Linked DNA regions of Stegostoma tigrinum. The protein of the gene in region 2 interacts with the protein of the main gene of each other region in a pairwise test. Links are inferred from orthologs where the notes say so. Each region holds a gene or a part of one and is shown on either strand. Other genes may lie near its edges. The genes, in order: RNA-binding Raly-like protein and rbm41.

Region 1 (11,274 bases), on a different chromosome or scaffold from region 2:
ATCATCTCGGCTTACTATGAACAGAGATGAGAATAGGTCACAAAAACAAAGTTGCTACAAAAGTTCAGCAGTTCTGGCAGCATCTGTGAAGGATCGATCACTGGACCTGAAACGTTAATTGTTTTTTTCCGTCACAGACGTTGCCAGACCTGCTAAGCTTTTCCAGTAACTTTGTTTTTTTGTTCCTGATTTACAGCATCCACAGTTCTTTCGGTTTTTACTGAGAATAGGTCACAACTCTTTCATTTCTCTATCTTCTCCAAAATTTTGAACTGTCCCAAAACTTTTAAACTTTGTATTTATAACAAAATTAATCTTCTTACCTTTCTCGTACAATGTTCTTTCTAGCAGCCAACTTTTGAAATTGGACAAGTCTCCTTATACCTCATGATGAAACAGAAGTTTCTTTGAACTAAAAGCTCTGCAGTAATGCTGAAATACAAGTGAGAGCCAGTTGCGTGCATTTTCACATCTTCATCTGCATTCTGATGTAAAATCCTGTCACTCAACAATCCACCTGGGACCATATTAGTCTTTTCACTACAAAAACTGAATCCTTTTCCAAGTGTTGCCACATTTATCACTGTTCTCAGCATGCCTCAGTCACCTTCAGAACAACTGCTATCTGGTCTGACAGCCTAACAAGATTGTTCTGTCTGGAGCAGCTCTGCCTCTGGTTACCTGTTATCTATACAACTCAAGTGGCTATCCCTTGCCTCTGTTTCCTGTTAATCCTTGTCAAATACACTGCAGCTTCCTCTGACCTTATCACAGATTAGTGTTAGCCATTCATGGTTCACTGGCATATCAATTAGGTTTAATAATACCAATGTCTATTCATAAATCCAAGTCATTACAGTTTTAGATTTTTTTTACTGGCAAGTCCAAAGTAAAGTTATGTTCTTCAATCATAAATTTGTCTTCACCAGTAATGAAAAATGTATGATAGTAAATTTTCTCATCCACTGGTTTAAAATGACTTATAATTTAATATTCTACATCCTGTATACCCGAGACTAGTATTATCCTCAATGATTCTCAGCCAAACACAGAGGCACTATTCTGCTTGAAATTCTTCAGCTTAATTCATACCCTACTAAATCATTTGAGAGATTAGCTCTATTCTTCATTCTTCTCACTTCCATGTTTCTAGATAGAGAGGGAATGTGATCTTCATGCTTCATAGTGAATTATCTTAAGTCATAATCAAACAATGCTGTCGACTTTAGCTAACATTTTTTTTCCCATTTGTATCATAATCTTGATCTCAAAGTTCATCATATCAACACTTTACCAACAGCTTTAAAATATATTTTCTGAATATATTTTTAGGACTGTGGTAAGGCAAGCATTCTTCAGCAGTTGCCATCCATGTAGGGTTAAGAATACCTCCATTATTGAAAGGCAAATCAAATCAAGAATACTGACGTAACAGTGAAGGGATGATAACAGAGCTTAAAAATCGGTATACTGCACAATTTGCAAGTGACACAAACAAAATATTGCAGATGCTACAGTCTGAAGTTTAAAAAAAAAGTGCTGTAAAATCTCAGCAAGTCTGGCATCATCTGTGCAGAGAGCAAAAATAGTTAACATTTTCAGTCCAAACTGACTTTTCTTCGTAACTGTTCTGAGGAAGAGTATTTTTGAACTCTAAACAGGAGAACTGTTTCTCCACAGACGCTGTAAGTTGTGTTACGTTTCTCAGCATTTTCTACTTTTTGCTGCCCTTCGTCTAAATGGATGTCTTGCCTTTAGAAGATACTGTTGAAGCAGTCTTGCTGAGTTGCTGTAATGCACTTTTTAGATGGTCCACACTGCATTCACTGTGCAGAGTGGTGGAAGTGGTGAATGCTTAAGAGCGGCAATTAATCAGACCTTCATTGTGTCCAGAGTTGCTGCAGCCACGTGCATCCAGGCAAGTGGAATGAGTTGTTGTTCACCATAGTATTCCCGGACTCTGATCTACTCTTTGTAGTCACAGTATTTATATTACCGGTCTAGTTAACCAGCTGGCCAATGGTGGTCAAGGATTCAGCAATGCTAATACCACTGAATATGAAGGAGAAAAGGTTTGCTTTTGTCCATTCTTTTAAACTGAATGTTTAATCACAACAGCAGACTATAGAGAAACTAATTCATTCTTGAGCAATTTTTCCCTCTCAGCTATGTTTATTCATCTTGATTATCATCAAGTACTTTGGAAGATTTTTATAGCTTATCCCACATCATACGGCTCTTCAAACACCATCCCACAGAAAATCAGTCCGTCTTTGTGAACCTGACCTCTCAGTCCGTTAGCATTTAGATCCCGAAGGACGACTTTTTTAAAAGAAAAGAAAGTGCATTATTTTACATTCTAGAAATATGTCATATTAAATGTGTTGAATATCTAAAGCTAGCTTTATGTTCCTCAAATCTTAGGACTGGAAATTCAGTGTTAATTAAGGTATTTACATGAAGGAAAATAAAGTGTTCATATTTCACCAGCTTTAGCCTTGCTTAAAAGGGGAATATTTAACCAAATCTTGCCATTGAATTTAACAACTTAACTGTGTGTCACTTTGTTTACTGCATTGATAACAGCTACTGCAAACAACCAATATAGCATTCACGTGGTCAGTGTTAACACTATAATAACAGCACCTTAGTTTCTGTGTGACATTACTAATGGCAATTACTATATGTACCTACACTTCATCTTCAGGCATGAAGATTGGTGGCTTCTGATGAATAGTCAAGAATTGGCATGATACTGTGCCGCGTGAAAACATTCAGCAGCATCAATATACTACAAATGGAATAACTTGACCACACTGAACTGTTTCAAACCTTTGGAGATCAATTGGAAACTCAACAACAATGCTGAAATTCACCAAAGGAATTTTATCTTCCAAGTAAGATCACATTCTGCAAAAACCAATTTAGCCTGGCTGATTCAAAAGGCTTATTTTTACTGTTGTGAATTCCATAACTATCTTTACAACAGTAAACAAACATAAGCCAGCAGGTGTTTTGATTTTTTTAGACACGTTGTGGAACAATCTTTTTAACAACTAGACAATACCGAACGCTGTTTAGAATGACTGCAGTACGGTTAAATCTTGGTTTGCAAATCCTGTGGTAACTAATGTGAACCTTTTGCTCGAGCAGTGCACAGAAGCGGCGTAAACGGCTTATGAACCAGCAAAACGAGAGCTAACTGAAGCTAACAGCCCTTTTTTGTGCTGTGTCGGGGGTGGGACGTCGTGAAAGATAAACTACATCTGAATAGTAAATCTTCTCGGTAGTGTCTGCAGAAAGCAAAAAAGGTGCCAGGCCATTCTTCATATCGATAGGTGTAACCGGGTCAAATCCCTGTAACGTTATCTTTTAAATCTTATTAGATTTTTTTCCTACCTGGTCAATGAAAATCTGACGTTGAAGGTTTGACTGAAATTATAAATTCGCGCCAAATAGGAATGCTCAGCTATCGCTTTGTTTAGAAAATGTTGAAACTTTCTAAACTTCTGCAATATCAAACGGGCTTGTTATCCCTTCGACTGGCACATTCCTTTCCGTACAAGGACTGAATTTTAGACAAGAATACTCCCGGCCACGTTATTTTACGAAAACACACCGAACGGTACTGTTTTCAATGAAATCACTGGTGATTTAAAAAAAGGGGAGAACGTGCAATTCTACTATATGACAAGCGGAATGCACATATAAGTAATGTCAAACATTGCAATGCATGCTGTCGCCTGAGGCATCAGACCACCTTTACTTACGTTGTAGTAGCACTGTTAGAAACATGATGCACTGATTTTCCATCACTGCTCCCAGAAGCTCTTCATCGGAAAGCATTAAGTTTTCACTGAAGCAATTTAATGAAATCATAGTAATATTCGGCAATATCGCAAAAAGGATTCTACGTATCAGGCAAATCAGACATAACACACGCTCTACAGTGCAATGGACCTGTTAGGCAGACTAGTCACTGAAGAAAACATTAAATAAAACACACGTTATTTACTTTATCAATATTTTATTCCCAGCTTTTCTGATGACATTTGTTATTGGCCCTGAAGTAAGTACCTTTGCTGATGTGTCGACGTGCCTTCTGTAAACAGTATAAACAATAACGTACTTCATTTGCCCCTCAAGAACTTCCACAGCCATCCACAACTTTTTTTTGGGGGGGGAATTAATTGTTTTTAAAAATCCAACAACTGGAAAACAGATCTGTTCTTTTGTTTTAAAAAAAAACCGCAACCGTCTGAAATAAAGTACACCTTTAGGAAAATTATTTCAAGAAAAAAAGCAACAAGCTGAGAGAAAAGTTTCCTGTTTTCGAAAAAAATTGCGTTGTAGGAAAGTCTGCAAAACACTTTTGCTGTTGTCGACAAATAAAACTTGCTTCAAATCGTGCTTTTGGTAGCTTGTCACTTCAGCTCAACCAAGCGAAGCACACAAATTGTGTTAATACCGGCATGGAAAAATACACCAATAAAGCTTTGCAAATAGAATCAACACAATAGGAGTCTTTTCTTGAGAGAAAAATACTACCGCTATGCATGCGTATTGAAAAAAAAACTCGGGGGGCTGGCAACAGTAACAAAAAAAATTACAAAATATACACAGTTCCTTTTTTTTGCCAACGCCGTCACTGACTTAACACTATACAGCATGCAAGAACTTATTCCGCAAAATAGATTTTATAAACCATGCTTCATCGGCACAATTTCTTTCGATCTTTGTCTTTTTCTTTTTTAAAAAAAAATGTAGTTAAAAAGGAATGAAAATGACAAAAAAAAAGCACTGAAAAATTTCAGATAGTAAAAAAACCTACTCACCGAGCGGGAAAAATTCAAGAGAGAGAAAAATACTGAAGTTTGTAATATGGCGGTGGAAGGAGTAATGAAGCGCCCTCAGCCTCAGGCAAAGGCACGTGATCCGAGAGAGCCTGCTCCCAGCAATGCCCAAAGGCTGTCAGAGGCACAAATCCAACCCCAGTCTCCCCCAACCTCCCTCCCCCCGCAACCTCCTCCACCCAAGATCAAAGGCCGACCCGACTCGTCTGCCTCCAGCGCGAGCCCGCACCCCGGCGTTTTACACCCCGCTCCTCTCCCTCACCGCCGAGCGGCTGCAATTGGCATGTTCCCCCTTTGAAAGCGAGCGGCGCATCCCTGAAAAACAAAATCATATGGTGCAGTCCGCTTGGGTTACCGGGAGACTGTCGGGTTTGGAGACAGGGACGGTGTGAGGGTGGGAGCGCTGACAGTGTCGAGAGGGGGTGGTAGTGTAGAAAGCCGGGTGATGAGGGCTGGGAGCCCCAGTGACGGATGCTGCAACCTTTTGCGAATACCTGCGAGAGATGATCATTTTTATTGGACCGTCCACCTTACTCAGGGACAGGCATTTTGTTTTACTTGGTGGGAGTGTTACAAAATCAGTCACCTATTTTACTTCCCCCCTCTCTCTCTGAAAACAAAATCTTACTTGTGGGCGGCTTATTTACTTATTAACGCAGTTTTGGTCGAAAGCTCGGACTGCCAGCCTTTCTTTGGGAATAATTAGTTGTAAGCGGATGTTGTTGGGCAGGAGAAACAAGTGGCGACATTGTCTGGCAGTGTGTACGCGGACGTGAAGCAAATGGACTGTGTTTTCATTTTTAAAAATTCTTGTTGATCGGATTTTAATATATTAAACATAGTACGTTTCACACTGCCCACCTTCTTATACGTTTCTGGTGGACGACAGCCGGAATATGGCACACGTAAGGCAACAGAAAACAACAACACTTTTACCAAAGAAGGACAATTAAAACATTAAAAAATAATCTCAAGCAGTTTTCTCCTGAAATCAAAGAAAACTTTTACAAGTCACAACAGCATACGGTTAAAACTATTAGAAATCTGCCTTGCTCCGACCTACCTTTGAAATAGCATCGTAATTATACCGCAACATTACACACAGAACAAGAATTCGTCATTTAAAACAACGTGAAAGTATCATACAGGAGGTCAGAAAGCCACTGGTTTTATCAGCTTTCCTGTAGTCTCGTCATGAAAAAAAAACCAAAGATACTAACTAGATTCCGGATATGAAGGCAATGGCATGATTCTCACCATTTTCCCTCCATAACAGATGTACATATATGTACTGTCCTTGGCTTTGTCATCTCCACTATATATAAGAATGCCTTACACTGTTTGGTATATATGTATAAACCGATCGAGTTAGGCATAATCTTCCCCAATCTTTTAATGTGTTTTTATCCTTCATGCATTTCCTACTTTCTCCAGTTACATTCACTTTTGGATGATTGATCATACAGTACTGAATGACTTGAAACAAACTGGCCTCGGTGTATTTTAATCACTAAGGCGGACATTTAAGTCAAAGTAACTCAACTATTTGCAGGCAATGAGAATTCTGATCACAGACACGAATGAAAAAAAATGCTCTACATGTGCCTTTATTACTGGAGAGACTGCGTAAAAAATATTACGACTTATAAAGTACCGTCAGTGAGAATGACTATTGGTTTTATCGCTTCAAGTCGACCTTCCGTGGCGCTGCAGAGAGTGAAAACCTACAACTATCACTACCTGAGGTGGATTGCGACAGCCTGGTAAATTCTACCAGGATGCAAAGACGTAATTGGATCTTATATTTAACATTTCCAACATAAATTATAATTTATTTAAATTTGAAAATGTCCATTGTAAATACGCCACAGTATAAATCAGCCTTTTTGCACGTGGTCAATGTAATGCCTCAACTGGTGGGGTAGGGTAATTACAGCGTGACAAGTTTACAAAAGCCCTTTTGTATTAAAATATTCAATGGAGAAATTAGTAATAAAAAATGTTGGTATAACCCGTTTGCAAATTTTTGATTTATAAAAAAACGCAGGTTTTGATAGCAAACATTTGCATACTTCGCACATATCGTACGTTTTTAATTCAACAAACGCCCACTATCTCCAATAAATGAATTGTATTGGTTTGTTGCGTATTGAAATACAGTGGCAAAGCTTTCAATGTTTGAAATACACTTTATTTCCGATAAGCTAATTGAGGTACTTAGACCAGAGCTTCTTCAAGTGGGTCGTGAGCTGATCTATTTTGATGTCCTGAAATTCAAAGCAGTAATGGCCACCTCAGAACTCCAACCATTAATTACAATTATCCAGCCACCTTCCCACTCAAATGCATTTCATTGCGGGGTCGTGACCATTTTCAAGTGGGGTCACAAGGGGGATGCATTTGAAAAGTACTGACAGAGGAAATAGTCAATACAAATAATAAAACAGATATTGGTGATCATATTTGCAAGTATCACAGAGTAATATTCTGTTTTTACATGATACATTGTTGATGGAAAGTACTTGATGGGCATGTTGCCCTCATCAGTAGCTTTTTTTCAAGAGATCACAACTATAATTAGCTAGTTTAAGGATGTTCATAATCCTTACAAATAGTATCTTTTGCCTTTCCCGTGCCTACTAGCACTACAGAGAAGGTAAATGTCATGGAGTGATACAGCACGCAAACAGACTCTGGTCCAACCAGTCTATGCTGAACATAATACTAAACTAAACGAAAGCTACCTGCCTACTCCTGGCCCATGTCCCTCCAAACCTTTGCTATTCATGCAGCCATCCAAATGTCTTTTAAACATTGTAATTGTACCTGCATCCACCACTTTGTCAGGAAGTTCATTCCACACTCAAACCACGCACTTTATAAAAACTGTGCCTCTTATGTCTTTTTTTAACATCTCTGTCCTCTTACTTTAAAAATGTACCCCTCTGTCTTGAAATTCCCCATCCTAGGGAAAAGACAATTACCATTAACTCTATCTTTACCTCTCATTATTTCATAAATTCCTATAAACTACTTTCCTGGAAAACACTTCAATTTTTCAGTTAAGAATAGTGCATTCTGGTTAATTTCAATGTTTTAAAATTTCACCATTGTCCAACTTTTAACTGAGGGAAGGAAAATTAGTCAGTTTATCTTGCTAAATTTTCTGATGATACAAATAGGTTAGAGAAGTAAGTTACAAAGAAGACGTAACAATGTTACAAAGGAACATAGTGAGTGAGCAAAGAGTTGGCAAGTGAAGTATAATTTGTGAGAAATATTGTCCATTTTTCACAGACATACGTAGATCTATGGGGTGAATTCACATTTGCAGATTTGTAATTGCAGATACATTCTATTTTGTTCAAAAAGCACATAATTTGTTGACAGTCAATGTAGCATTTTATAAATTCCTACTTTGGAAATAAAACCAGTTTGACTCCAAGTTAAAGCACAGACAGATTCTAAACAAGGCTTCACACCTAAAATGCATTGTCTAACCTGAGATATCACCTCAGTAATACTGATAAAACCTTTAGGTATCTCGAGGCAGTGACTTGAAAGAAATTCTGGGATTTGCACATTAATCAGTCAAAACCTGCATCACCTTTTGAACTAATTAAAGATTTAATGGCCATCTTAGGTTTGTTCAATGCATTCACATCAGTTCTATGACCCTTTGATCTTTTGCTTCTAAATTCTGCATCTGATGCCACCTCTCTTGCTAACATCTGAATAAGGAAAAAGACTCTGAAAGCTTGTGTTTTCAAATAAATCATTGGACTATAACCCAGTGTCATGTGATTTTTGAGCTAATGAAAAATGACAGGATTGATATTGCAGCTTTAAAAGTGAGGCTAAAGGACAGAGAGACCCCCAGATTGAAATGGGTGGGTAGCAGCTGTCAGCCATCTGATTGCTTTATGAAGCATAGAGCAAGTAGATGCTCTTGTGATACAGTGTTAGCGTCCCTATCCCCGCACCAGGAGAGCCTGGGTTCAAGCCCCGCCTACTCCAGAGGTGTGTAATAGTATTCCTGAGCAGGTCAATGGGGAAAATATACATAAGAAAAATGGAGCATGCTTTTAGAAACTAATAGAAATACTGGAAAATGACATTTGGAACTTGAATATACATTTCAGAAAAAAGGCATAAAATATGTTGCTATTTCTGCATATATGTTTTGTTGGTTTATTATTAGTGTTGTTGTTTATGAATTTATTTTAAATGAATAGAAAAGGAATCTGTTAATATCAAGTAGGGTCTAGCAGGAGTTGATGAGGCCAAGTGGAACTAGGAAACAAGCGATGATTCTGTGTTTATGAAGGGGCAATTGGATGAGAACATGACTGCATGTAATGTATATGTGCTGGGAATTTTGTGATATATGAGCTAGAATAAAACTCTGACCAGAAAAGTATATGCTTAACTCAGCATTCAAACTCTGATATTTAACAATGACAGTGCATACCATCACCTCTTTCTGTAACAGTGGACAGCTAAGCTTGTGCTCCTTTCCCCTTTGTGAAGGGAACATTTTGTAAAACTCATGTTTGCTTCCTTGCTACTGTATTGACCTGGAGATGAACTTCTAACAGCATATTTACACTATTACCAAACCACCTATTTTCACTTCTGTAGCATCATCCACTTTGACTCTGCCTTAGCTTGTCTGTTGCACAAACCCTCATGCCTTTATAGCCCTAGACTTGGTCAATCCAACATACTCTCACATTCTAGCCTCCAGAACCTTATGGTTATCCAAACGTCTGCAGCTCATGTCTTACCTCGTACCTTGTCTTACTCTCTTATTTCTATTGTGGTTCCTGAGGCTAAATTGGCTGCTGATCAAGTGAGATGTTGGATCACAGGATTCCTGCAGTTTGGAAATAGGCTCTTCAGACCAACAGGTCCACATCAACCCTCAAAGCATCCCACCCAGACCCATCCCCCTACCCTTTCCCCGCAACCCATCTAACGTACACATCCCTGAACACCTCAGGCAATTTAGCATGGCCAATCCACCTAACCTGCATATCTTTGGACTTTGGGAGGAAACCAGACCTGATAGAAACCTATGCAGACATGGAGAGAATGTGCAAACTCCACGCAGAAAGTTGTCCAAGAGTGGGATCGAACCCCAGTCACTGAGAGACAGCAGTGCTAACCACTAAGTCACCATGCTGCCATTGATTTCAAAATATTTCACATTTTTCAATGACCTCATCTCTCCCCATCAGTGCAACTTCCTTCACATTGAAAAACCACTGAAATTTCTGTGCTCATCCAATTCTGGCCTCTAGGCTATCTCTGATTTTAATCCCTCCCATGTTGGTGGTCATACCTTCAGTTGCTTGGTCTTTAAGTTCCACAATTCCCTCTCTACTGCTGTGCTTTCCCTTTAAGTCAATTTTAAAAATACATCTCTTTAACTAAGATTTTGGTCATCTGATCAAATATCTCCAGTTGGACCCAATGCCTAATTTCACTTTATAACTTTGATGAAGTATTTAGAGACATTTGAATTTGTTTGGGGGTGTACTGTAAATATAAAGGTACTACTGTCAATGTAACAAAGTCAGTCAGTAATACTGACATTTTATTAGATCTGCAATAAATTAAACTTTTAAAGGGACATTTCAGACACAGAAAATTTTAGCTAAACATTAAGATATTTTTCCTGGAGTTTGCAGCTGCTAAAATTTTCATTTTTAAATGGAATGGATTGCCTGTAAGTTCAGAGTTAGTAGACTCCAACTTTGGCATGCTGAGTAACTGAAGAAACTTCCTAACAACAATAAAAATGTTGACTGTTCCAAAATAAAGGTTTATACTGTGAGCTGTAGCGCGTTTAGTTTTCCTACAGAACAACAGTGGCTGGAATTCAAAAGAAATTATGGCAAAAAAAACTGCAGATGCTGGAAATCTGGTACCAGACTTGAAATTTTAACTCTTCCACCATCCACAGATGCTGCCAGACCTGCTGAATTTCTCCAGCATGTTCTGTGCTTATTTACAAAGCAATTAGTTCATTGTAAAATGATTTAGAAAATCTTTTTCAATGTGATTGATCATAAGATTTTTTTCTTTAGCTAATGATAATCAATCAATCTGTGAACCTTAATGAAATCAAGTTTCAGGCTTCTAACATAACTTCTAAATCATTATATTATTACAGGTATCAATTGAGAGGGAGCTTTTGATATTTCTTATCGAAACATAGGACTGAGAAGATATTCTTTTCCTGCACGCAGCCATCATGTTTCCAAGTTGATGGGGTGAACATAATGCTGAGAGGTAAAAACTAAATAATGCCAGCAGCAATTAGTTGAGGATATGGTTACTATGTTGAGAATGAAAAGAAAGCACAGGACATCATTCGTGTCCTGAAAGAAAGCTCAAATTTGGACACTGCACTAAC
Region 2 (11,848 bases):
TGGTGATGAAACGTCTGAAAACGAACCTTCCAGCTCAGCGAGCAAACTCACATCCACTGCACTGTAATGTTCTCTGTTCTATATTGAGCTGTTTGCTGCAAAATGGCTCGTTTGATTAGTTATTGCTTAGATCCACTGAACTCCATTTCAACTTGAAATTAAATTCAGATTAAATTTCAAGAGTTTATAAAACCTCATTCTGAAAACATCCTTGTGAAACTTGCAGCTAACAAAATACCCACAGCCAGCATAGATGCCCTTGCCACGTTTTACACCTTCTTCCCAGTAATATCCTGAGCCTCCCTTTAAACCTTTGACAACCAAGCCACACACATTTCTTTTCAGGCAGGATTCATAAATCCACAACCCCTTCATTTTTGCATTTTACCGCAAAGCAAAGATACACTTAGAAAACATCAATGTGTGAACTCCCACTTGTAACCACACTGTTGCATTTGTAAGCAAATTTAAATAATCAGATTATTTCACTATGTTAAAAGGTAACAGAGCCAGCTACTTCTGCCCATACTACAGGAAATGGCACACATTTCGTTGCTGCCATCTGGAATGGAAGATCTTCCTATGGATTTTTTTTTATAAAAACACAGAGGGTGGTGGGCGCCTGGAACGCGTTGCCAGCGGAGGTGGTAGACGCAGACACGTTAGCGTCTTTTAAGATATATTTGGACAGATACATGTATGGGCAGGGAGCAAATGGACACAGACCGTTAGAAAATAGATGACAGGTTAGACAGAGGATCTTGATCGGTGCAGGCTTGGAGGGCCGAAGGGCCTGTTCCTGTGCTGTAGGTTTCTTTGTTCTTTGTTATGATTTGGTAATCTTACATTTTGGAAAAAAACTATAAAATTGCATTGATTAGTGTAATTGGGTAAATGAAAGCAACTAATGCCTCTAAATAAAATAACATTTTGTTTGTTTAACAGCACAAGTTGAGAAAGTTGCTATAATACAGGAATTCTGAATGCATTAATTACCACTTTATGGTGATTCCACCATTTAAACCTTCGAAAAAGACAATGAAATTATGTGACAGAATCTTTATTTGAGATTTCATTCTAAATTGGGATTTATTTGTGCAGCCTGGAGGTAACTGGAAAAAAAAAGAGGTAAGCCTTTAAATACCTGTAGAAATAAAAACAAAAAATAATCCAGAATTGCAAATACGAAGTAAGAACAGAAAATGCTGGAATTGCATAGAACATCAATCAGCATAAAGGGATTCAACAAGAAGCACTCTGTCTTCTCTCTGAATGCCGACAGACCTGAGTTTTCCAGCATTTTCCATTTTGTCATAATTTTGAAAGGACTACAATGCATTAAAATGTACACAAACATTACTTTCTTACTTGGTTTTATTCATACAAAAACATCACTGAAGAAATGTTCCAATACTCACTCTTCAAGTGTTACGCTTGTGTCTAACTGGTGCTTCAAGAGGTTTTGCAATTGCCTCTCTCCTTCTGTCTCCAGCTCCTCTGGCTCAACATCATCATCACCACTTATACGACTACTAACCCTAAATTTTAAAAGGGAATAAGAGGTGTCTTGCTTACATTACATCAGGATTAAAATGCAAAAAGGCCACAATTAATATGTAATTTTGAATTTGGAAACTGGAAGTTAGCAATAAGAACCAGAACAGTGAGATCCTTATTTCAGCTTCACAAAAGGCTTAATTTCCTTTGTTCCTAATAATATTTTCAAGTTAAAATATGCATGTATTTCACTGACAGCCAAGAGATGCTAAACATTCACTGTTTAATCTGTCAGACTGACATTAATCAATGTGATTTTTCTGCTCAGCTGTTCTAACGTAGATCTTTTTAATCAACTCAGTGAATAAGACCAATCGATTGTACTTTTGAGCTAGCATTCAAAAAATTAAGTTCTGTCTGGAATTCTGAAATAAGTTCTAATATTATTTCTTAAACAGTTCTCCTCTGCCAAAGGTTAGTCCAACCAACAGCATCACAATAGGGATGGCATGGCAACAGGACCCAAATCCACAGCAGAAGTGAGATTGAACACAGTGTTATTGATAGAAATGAGATTCAGACATGGCTAAAACTATCACCTCTCTCCCTGTCTGCATTTCCAAGACGTCCAGACTGATGTGGTAATGTCCACATGTACATGTATATTGGAAACTCATGCTGTGGATAGTTGTGGTACAGACCCCAATTCCTTTACGTCAAATGGCTGACGAGGAACTTCTCTTGCTCTTACCTTCAGCCATTGTCATATATTAAGTTATGGATTACATTGAGGATACTGTCCTATATGTTGTGTACCACCCTGGGAAAGATTTTGAATAGATCTACCAGCTCAAGTCTGGGCCTCCATGAAGTGCTATGGGCCTTCAGCAGTACAAAGTTTTTTGCAACCACAATCTGTAACGCAGCACAGCTCCTAATCTACCATTACCATAAAGGCAGGAGGCCGTGCCAGGAACAACAATTCGGACAAAACTAAAAATTATGTATCAACCTTGTGAAGCTGCAACACAGGACTACATTTATTACTATTAATTACAATAAAAAAAAAATTTCAGAGATGGACTGCAACAAAGGTTCACCAGACTCATTCCTAAAATAGGCAGACTATCCAATAAAGTGAGACTGAGAATACTGAGCCTAGATTCTCAACAGTCCTGAGGAATGAAGTGATTTCACTAATACCCTATTTTATTAGATTGATCCTTTTAATAAATTTAGCAAAACTATTTTTCTAATGGCTTAAATAAATTGTGTATCTTTTGTGTGTGATTTATTCATCTAATTCTACTCGCAAATAGTCTTCATTTATTTATCATTTGCTCTTTCAGAAACAGCAGTGTCTATTATTGCCTTCTTAAAAATGCAAGTTATTAGAAACAAAACATTTTGCTAAGTCTACTCCATCTTCAGCAAATAGCCATACACTAGGGCTCTCATCAGGCATCACTCCAAAAATGAAAAGTGGAAACTCTGGTTGATTATTTTTGTTCTCTGTTCCCAGGATACCTGCTTTTAAAAAAAAGCAAAGAACCGTGGATGCTGTAAATCAGAAACATAAACAGATGTTTTGCTGGAAAAGCTCCACAGGTCTGGTATCATCTGTGAAGAGAAGTCAAAGTTAATGTTTTGAGTCTGGTGACCCTTCCTCAGAAATCTTTCTTAAAATTTACTTGAGCATTGTTGGCTGGCCAGCATCTATTACCTGTCCCTAGGTGCACTTGAATCATTACATTTCCTAATCCCAAATTTTTTTTAAAAATTGAATGCAAACCTACTATCTGCCCTGGTGGGATTCAAGGCTTTGTTCCCAGTATATTAGCTGAGTTTCTGGATTAATAATTTATCGTCTCCCCAAACTGAAGCTCACTCCTCTCGTCAACAAATAATAGCCAATGCCAATAGTCCCAGGTTTGATTGAATTGGGCTATAAGCTTTATGGAACATATATAGTGGGGATACTCACTAAACGAATTGGTACTACAGTAATTACATTATCTTCACTTTTAGAACAAAGACACTAACAACGGTCTTTACACTTTCAATCATAAGTGCACTGAACAAAGACAGAAGGTCTTTGTCTCTGTCGGCAGATAGTTCATCTTGTGCCATTTTCCTGGCAGTTTTTCTAAGTAATGTTTTAACCATTGTATTCCTTCAAGGACCAGGACCAAACGGAGAGAGACCCAAGTTCACTTCAAAATCCCATTCTGTGGCTCAGAAAAACGTCAACAACGAATCAACTAAACTAACCATCCCCTTTCTTTTCACTGTCAGGCTTATAAAAAGAACTCCCTTTAACGTACAGATGCATCTTCCCTGACGTTTGACGAGCATTAGCACAACAGATTCTCAATCCGTATTCCCTTATTTTACTTTCCAGATGCTAGAAACAAGCAGGATCAACTATTTTAAAATGACCAATCTGGAAAATGTTTGGAACAGAATTATCGAGGTTGAATGAAGACAAAGCGTTTTGATAATAAAAGTGCACAAGTGTTAAACATTTGCTCAGTATGACCGGGAATCGGCAAATCTTGAAGGTTTTAGTAAATCATAACTGGCTGCAAATAGTAGTGCACGACATCAGAATTCGTCCGAGCAAACAAAAGAAAGTAACGCCTTGAGATAAACAGGGTCTAGGCCCGAAACGTCAGCTTTTGTGCTCCTAAGATGCTGCTTGACCTGCTGTGTTCATCCAGCTCCACACTTTGTTATCTCCTATTCGCTACATATATAGGTTACCATTAAACGAAACGTTTCATTTTGTATTTTGAACAGCATTAGATGTGACTGTTAGTGATGTAATAACTCCGACTCTTTTCTATTAGGGCTATTTTCAAGAGCCCCATAGGCAGCCATTTCTCTCTGTTCCTCGGCTTCTTCCAACAATGAAAATGACCTTCATCAGACAGGAACGGAATCAATAACTGTGTTTTCATCGTCCAGAAACCCCTATCCCATTAACTATAAGCACGTAATGTGTAAAAACCCAGTAATAACCTGAATACTTATTCTCTCTAATTTACCTGCGCATCTTCACTCCAATACTCCGCACTCACACAATAGCAACCCCGCGCATGCGCCGATTGTCGTTCGGCCTCAGTCCTATTTGCCGCAGGGGACTGCACGTGATCTGAAGCCACTTACACATGCGCGACGATCGATTGGCATTCTGGGTAATGTAGTATTGCTCATAGCTGTTCCGGAAACTGAAGTATAGTTAAAAAGGTTTTGCTTTGTGTGGGAGAAGATCAACTATCAGAACACGGTATTCGTTTTGGAGATGTATATATTTCCCCACTGAATTAAAGTGGATCGTATGATTAGTCTGTAATGTTGTGGCCTTGTAGTAGAGAGGTTGTGGGGCTGTAACTTATTTTGAGTGTCCCTGGGCCTGGGCCTGGGATCAAACCCCTCCGTCTGATTGATGAGAAGGAGCTGCGAGGTTGAATGAATGGAGTTTGTGGCCGGGACAATGTGGGTTAGTGTAAATTAGTTGTTCTCACTGGGAATCTCAATGTCGTGGGGCAGGCCTTCGAATATTCATAACAATGCTGTGCTCGTTGTCTGGGCTATATTAAGTACAGTCATTTCCATTTGTCTGGCCCTGTTAAATGGAAAATTATTAAATCTTGAACTTTGCAAGTGGTAATGAGAGCGTCTCTTCCTTGTTCCGACATCGAGTTAGTCAGGCCCATCTCCGGGTTAGCTATACAATTTTTGAAGGGTCTAGGCCCGAAACGTCAGCTTTTGTGCTCCTGAGATGCTGCTTGGCCTGCTGTGTTCATCCAGCTCCACACTTTATCTTGAACTCTCCAGCATCTGCAGCTCCCATTATCACAGCTATACAACTGTAATGCCCCTCATGATTTTCGGATGAGATGTTAAACAGCTTTCTCAGTGAACGTATACAATTCTAGAGCAGTTTTTTTTGTCCCGGAAAGCTTGAAGGGTGTTCTTACTTCCTAGCCTGTTCAATTAATACTAACTCCCTTCATTAACACCAGAAAAACAGATTCTCCAGTATCACGTTACTAAAAGAGTTTCTCTGAAGAAGTCATATCTGTCTCGTAATGTTAACACTGTCTCACAGCTCCCAAACCAACTGAGCTTCTCCAGCACTTTAAGACCATAAGATATAGGAGCAGAAATTAGGTTATTCAGCCCATCGAATCTACTCCACCACTCAATAATAGATAATTAAGTTTCTCCTCCCCATTCTCCTTTCTGCCCATAATCCTTGATCCCCTTGACAGTCAAGAACTTATCTATCTCTGTCTTAGATATACTCCATGACCTGGCCTCCACAGCCTTCTGTGGCAGTGAATTCCTTAGATTCACCACTCTCTCTGGCTGAAGAAGTTTCTCCTGATCTCAGATCTGAAAGGTCTCCCCTTTACTCTAAGGCTGTACCCTCGGGTCCTAGTCTCCTACCAATGGAAACATCTTCCCAACATCTGTACTGTCCAGGCCATTCAGTATTTTGTGAGTTCCATGTAGATCCTCCACCCCCACCCACCAGTCCTTCTAAACTCCATTAAGTAAAGAGCCCTCAAATGCTGCTCATATGCAAAGCTTTTCACTCCTGGGACCATTCTACCGGACCTCCTGTGAACCTGCTCCAGGGCGAGTACATCTTTCCTGAGATATGGGCCCAAAACTGTTCACAATACTCCAAATTTGGCCTGACCAGAGCCTTATAGAATCTCAGAAGTACAGCCCTGCTTGTGTATTCAAGTCCTCTCAAAATAAATGCCAAAGTTGTATTTGCATTCCTAACTACTGACTCAACCAGCAGGTTTACCTTGAGAGAATCCTGGATTCGAACTCCCAAGTCTCTTTGCACTTTAGACTTCTGAATTTTCTTCCCATTTAGAAAGCAGCCCATGCTTCTATTCTTCTTACCAAAGTGCATGACCTCATACTTTCCCACATTGTACTCCATCTGCCACTTCTTTGCCAACTCTCTCAACCTGTCCAAATCCTTCTGCTGCCTCTCCACATCCTCAATACTACCCATCCCTCTGCCTATCTTTGTATCATCTGCAGACTTAGCCAGAATGCCCTCAGTTCCTTCATTTAGATCATTAATGCAAAAATAAAAAGTTGTGGTCCCAACACTGACCCTTGTGGATCGCCACTTGTCACCAGTTGCTATCCTTTTGACTTTCTGCTTTCTGCTTTCTGCCAGAGAACCAATTGTTTATACTTTACGGAGCATGCTACGTACAGAATGGTTGTGGGGTTTTTCTACCCAGCAAAAGTGCCTAGACTTTATTATGATTATGTTAGCTGTAAAGTGTTTTGCGGTATTCTGATGTTAACAAAACAGATGTATAAGCAAGTACCAATAGCATAAATTGCTGTAGAAACTCAGCAGGCTGCCAGCATCTGTTGGTAAAAAGCAGAGTTAATATTTCTCACAACTTAGATCTAAACATTCATCTAAATTCCTTTCTTTTTTCTATGCATTTGTTTAACTCATTCTAAGATTTTATTAACCTTGCACAAATAATTTGTAGATTTATGCAATACCCAATATTATCGCCTTACGGTTTCAATTCATAAGGTTTGTTTTAGGGGAAAACATTTCATCCAACTTAACGCATGCCACATTGAACAAATTTTTGGGCCCTAAAAGAACATAATCCCTTACTGTAGGCTATGATTCATGTGTGATGTGTTCACTAATAAAGGGAAATGTGATAACAGTTTGGTTTTGATTTCCAGATATTGCAGGAAGACTGCTATTTGCCATTTACACTAAAGAAGTAAAGATTACACATTAACACAGCAATCTGACTAATAATCAGCATGACTTTGTTCTGTTGGACAAGAATCTCAAGATTGTATGTCATGTCTTCTTGTCATATCTGTGCACGAAGACTACAACAGTCTAACTCACAAAGACTGTATTCAGTATTTATTCGGTATACTCCTTGGAGGCCAAGTTATCTGACTTTGAAACAGCCGGTGCATGGTATCAAGAACCATAATCCCTTCACTCGGAGCCAGGAGGAAGCATGGAAGAAGAAGAATAAAACCGTACTCACGTATATAGCAGCAACAGCAGTTGGAATGATTGGCATGTCATATGCGGCTGTACCTCTCTACAGACTTTATTGTCAGGTCAGTATAATCTTCTGTTTGACCCTAATGCCCAAGTTCCCGGAATAAGCAGACATTAACAAATGTAAAAAGAAATCTGTTTAAACAAGCCAAATGTAAAGTGCAAATTACTTGTTTTTCACACCGCAAAGTTGTTTTTCTTTAAATTTAATTCACTCATGAGACATGGGTTCTGCTGGCTGACTAGAATTTACTACCTATCCCTAGTTGTCATTGAGGAGGTGGTGATGAACTGCCTTCTTGAACTACTACAATCCACCTGCTATAGGTTGACCACAATATCCTTAGGGATGGAATTCCAGGATTTTGACCAGCGGCAGTGACTGAATGATGATATATTTCCAAGTCAGGATGGTTGAGTGACTTTGAACTTGTGTCTGCTGCCCTTGTCCTTCTAGGAGGTAATGGTTTTGAGTTTGAAAGCTGCTTTTCAAGGATCTTTGGTGAATTTCTGCAGTGCATTTTGCAAACAGTACATGCTGCTAACTGTTACTGAGCATCGGTATTGGACAGAACGGATGCTTGTCTTTGTGGTGCCAGTCAAACAGTCTGCTTTGCCCTGGATGTTGTCAAGCTTCTTAAGCGTTATTGGATCTGCATCCATCCAAGCAAGTGGAGAGTATTCCATCCTGTCTTATGCCTTGTAGATAGTGGACAGGCTTTAGGGAGTCAGGAGGTGAGTTACTCACTGCAGTATTCCGCGGCTCTGACCTTCTCTTGTAGTCACTGTTTATCTGGCAAGTCCAGTTTCTGGTCAGTGGTAACTCTTCAATACTTTTGCTGGAATATTGTCAGGGCCCACATCCTTTGATGTATTGAGTACTTCCAGTTGTCCAGTGAGTTGTTTCAATGTCCATCAGCATTCCCAACTGGATGTGGCAGGACTACAGAGCTTAGATCTGATTCATTGGTTAGGGATCACTTAGCTGTTATTGCTTGCTGTTTATGTTGTTTGACATGCAAGTGGTCCTGTTTGGTAGCTTCACTTAGTTGATGCCTCATTTTTAGGTATGCCTGGTGCTGCACCTGGCATGTGCTCCTGTACTCTCCATTTGAAGCAATGTTGATCGCTTTACCTGATGGTAATGGGGAATTAGTGGGGAATTTCCCAGGCCATGGGATTGCAAATTGTGCTGGATTCTGCTGCTATTGATGACCCACAGCATCTCCATGGATGCCAAGTTGTGAGTTGCTAGATCCATTTGATGTTTCAAAATGTGTTGAACTAAACAGTGATGGTGTGACACAACACAATAGAGAGTATTCTCAATGTGAAGACAGGACTTCAGCTCCACAAGGACTGTACAGTTGCCACTCTTGTCGATACTGCCATGGACAGATTGGTAAGCTTGAGGCCAAGTATGTTTTTCCCTCTTGTTGAGTCCGTGGTGGGCAGTGACGGAACCACTGTAATAGCTGTGTCCTTTAGGACTTAACCAACTCAATTAGCAGGCCTGTTGTTCAGCTAGTGTTGGTGGTGGACACTGAAATCTCTTACCTACAGCATGTTTTGCACCCTTGCCACCTTCATTGCCTCTTCCAAGTGTTATTCAACATGGATGAGTACAGAGTTATCAGTTGAGGTAGGACAGTACGTCATAATCAGCAAGGGATTTCCTTGCCCATGCGACTTCGTAGGTCCGGAGTCAATGTTGAGGACTCCAGGGCAAATCTCTCCCAACTGTATACCACTGTGCCTCCACCTCTACTGGCCCTGCACTGCCGGTAGGACAGAAAATATCCAGGGATGGTGATGGTGGTGTTTGGGAAATTGTCTTTAAGGCATGATTCCATGGGTAACTTGAGTGATTTCTTTTTTGAGAAAGTGACAAAGAGGATTGATGAAGGCAGATCAGTGGACTTGTCTATATGGACTTCAACAAGGCATTCTATAAGGTTCCACATGGTAGACTGATTAGCAAGGTTAGATCGCATGGAATCCAGGGAGAACTAGCCATTTGGATACAAAATTGGCCTGAAGGTAGAAGACAGGATGTTGGTGGAGTGCTGTTGGTCGGACTGGAGGCCTGTGACCAGCAATATGCCGCAAGGTTTGGTGCTGGCTCCACTGCTTTTTGCCATTTATATGAATGATTTGGATGTGAATATAAGTGGTATGGTTAGCAAGTTTGCTGTGACACCAAAATTGGTGGTGTAGTGCAACGTGACCTTGATCGGAGGAGTGGTTGATGGAGTTTAATTTAGATAAATGTGAAGTGCTGCAATTTGTTTAGGCACATCAGGGCAGGACTTAAATGGTAGGGTCCTGGGGAGTGTTGCCGAATAGAGACCTTGGGTTGCAGGTTCATAATTCCACGAAAGTGCCATCACAGATCAACAGAGTAGTATAGAAGGCCTTTGGTACCCTTGCCTTTCTTGGCCAATGCATTGAGTGTAGGAATTGGAATGCCATGTTGCGGTTGCACAGCACATTGGATAGGTCAATTTTGGAATTCTGCATTCAATTTTTATCTACAGCAGGGAAATTAGATGTTAAACTTGAAAGAATGCAGAAAGTACTTACAAGGATGATGCTGGGCTGGAGCGTTTGAGCTACAGGAAGAGGCTGAATAGGCTGGGGCTATTTTTCCTCGAGCTTCGGAGGCTGAGGGGTTTATAGAGGTTTATAAAATCATGAGGGGCATGGATAGGATGAATAGCCAAGGTCTTACTGCCAGGTTAGAGTTTTTCACAACTAAAGGGCATAGGTTTAAGGTGAAAGGGGAAAGATTTAAAAGGGACCTAAGGGGCAGCTTTTTCACACAGAGAGTCGTGTCTGTCTGGAGCGAGTTGCCAGAGGAAGTGGTGGAGGCTGGTACAATTACAAGATTTAAAAGGCATCCGGATGGGTACTTCAATAGGGATTAGAGGGATATGAGCCAAATGCTGGCAAATGGAATTAGATTAATTGAAAATATCTGGTCGGCATGGACGAATTAGACTGAAGAGTCACGGAAACAGACTGTTATGTTGCTTGACCAGTCTGAGAGACAACTCTCCCAATTTGACACTAGCCTTAGTCATTAGGAGAACTTGACAGATTTAATTGGGGTGTTTCTGCGATTGTCTTTTCTGTGTCTAGGCCAATTCCAAGTGGTCCCTCCAGTTTAATTTATTTGTTGAGATTTTATAGTGATTGATAGAGCTGGGTAGCTTGGTGGATCATTTCAGTGGGCATTTGAGAGTCAATCACATCGTTGTGGGTCTGGAATCGCATGTAGGCCAGACCAAGTGAGGATGACAGATTTGCTTCATGAGGACGTTTCGTGAATCAGAGGGTTTTTTTGACAATAGACAATTGTTAATGGTCATCAGTAGATCCCTAATTCCAGATATTTTGTGCTGAAGAATTTCACCATCTGGCCATGGTGGAATTCAAATGGAAGATCTCTCCAGGAGTTTAGCTGTATTTCTGGAAAATAGCTTAGCCATAATAGTACTAAGCCATCACCTCCCCATGTATTGTTTTTAAATTAAAATAGCTAAGCAGCTAACTGGTCACGTCCAAGCCCCTGTACTGATAATAGACACTGCTCTTGAACGACTGTTGCAAATCCCCTAAGTGGTGAGATTCTTGTTAGTATAGAAAAATTTGCTGGATGAATTCCAGAGCCTGCCTTATTAAGAAATGTTGAGCAGCTCAGACCTCTGGTCATTGGAGTTTGGAAAAGTGACATCTGATTGAGGTACACCTCACTTTTCCAAAGTAACAAAGGGCACTAATAAAGTAGACATAGAGCCGATATTTCCAAACTGGAAAGGGAGGTCATAGTTTTTGGGTAAGGGATGGCAGATTTAAAACGGACATGAGGAATAATTACTTCTCTCAATGGATGAATCTTTGGAATTCCCACCCCAGAGTGTGGTGAATGCTGGACTACTGAATAAATTTAAGGAGCACTTAGACAGATTTTTCATTAGTAATTGGTCAAAGGGTCTTGGAGAGTGGGCAGGAAAGTGGAGTTGAGGCTGAGATGAAATCAGACATGATCATATGAGATTTGAGGGGCTGAATTCCCTCCTGCTCCTAGTTCTTATGTTCTCGTGCAAAATCTCTTATGATACAAATACAGGCACGTGAGCAATTCCCTGCCTCACCCCAAATAAATTAAACGCTGTATGTAATTGAGGGATGACATATGCCAGGTCTCAAATCTGAGCTTCACGAGAACTAGCAGAAATTATTCTACCACAGTATAAA

The links.
Region 1: the proteins of rbm41 (region 2) and RNA-binding Raly-like protein interact in binary tests that used the Homo sapiens proteins (3 or more experiments, as listed by UniProt). The two-hybrid records come from large-scale screens. The link is inferred for Stegostoma tigrinum from reciprocal best matches to the Homo sapiens genes RBM41 and RALYL.

The regions. Positions count from the first base shown.
Region 1 is NC_081358.1:84,350,075-84,361,348, reverse strand, and holds the start of RNA-binding Raly-like protein, read right to left. Parts: upstream 4,985-11,274; 5' UTR 4,836-4,984; intron 3,857-4,835; exon of another isoform or gene 3,771-3,856; intron 2,323-3,770; exon of another isoform or gene 324-2,322; intron 1-323.
Region 2 is NC_081368.1:42,183,190-42,195,037, reverse strand, and holds the start of rbm41 (RNA-binding protein 41), read right to left. Parts: upstream 4,629-11,848; 5' UTR 4,553-4,628; coding exon 4,545-4,552; intron 1,539-4,544; coding exon 1,419-1,538; intron 1-1,418. Other genes in the region: cytochrome c oxidase assembly protein COX11, mitochondrial, read left to right, coding at 7,333-7,647. UniProt on the Homo sapiens protein: May bind RNA.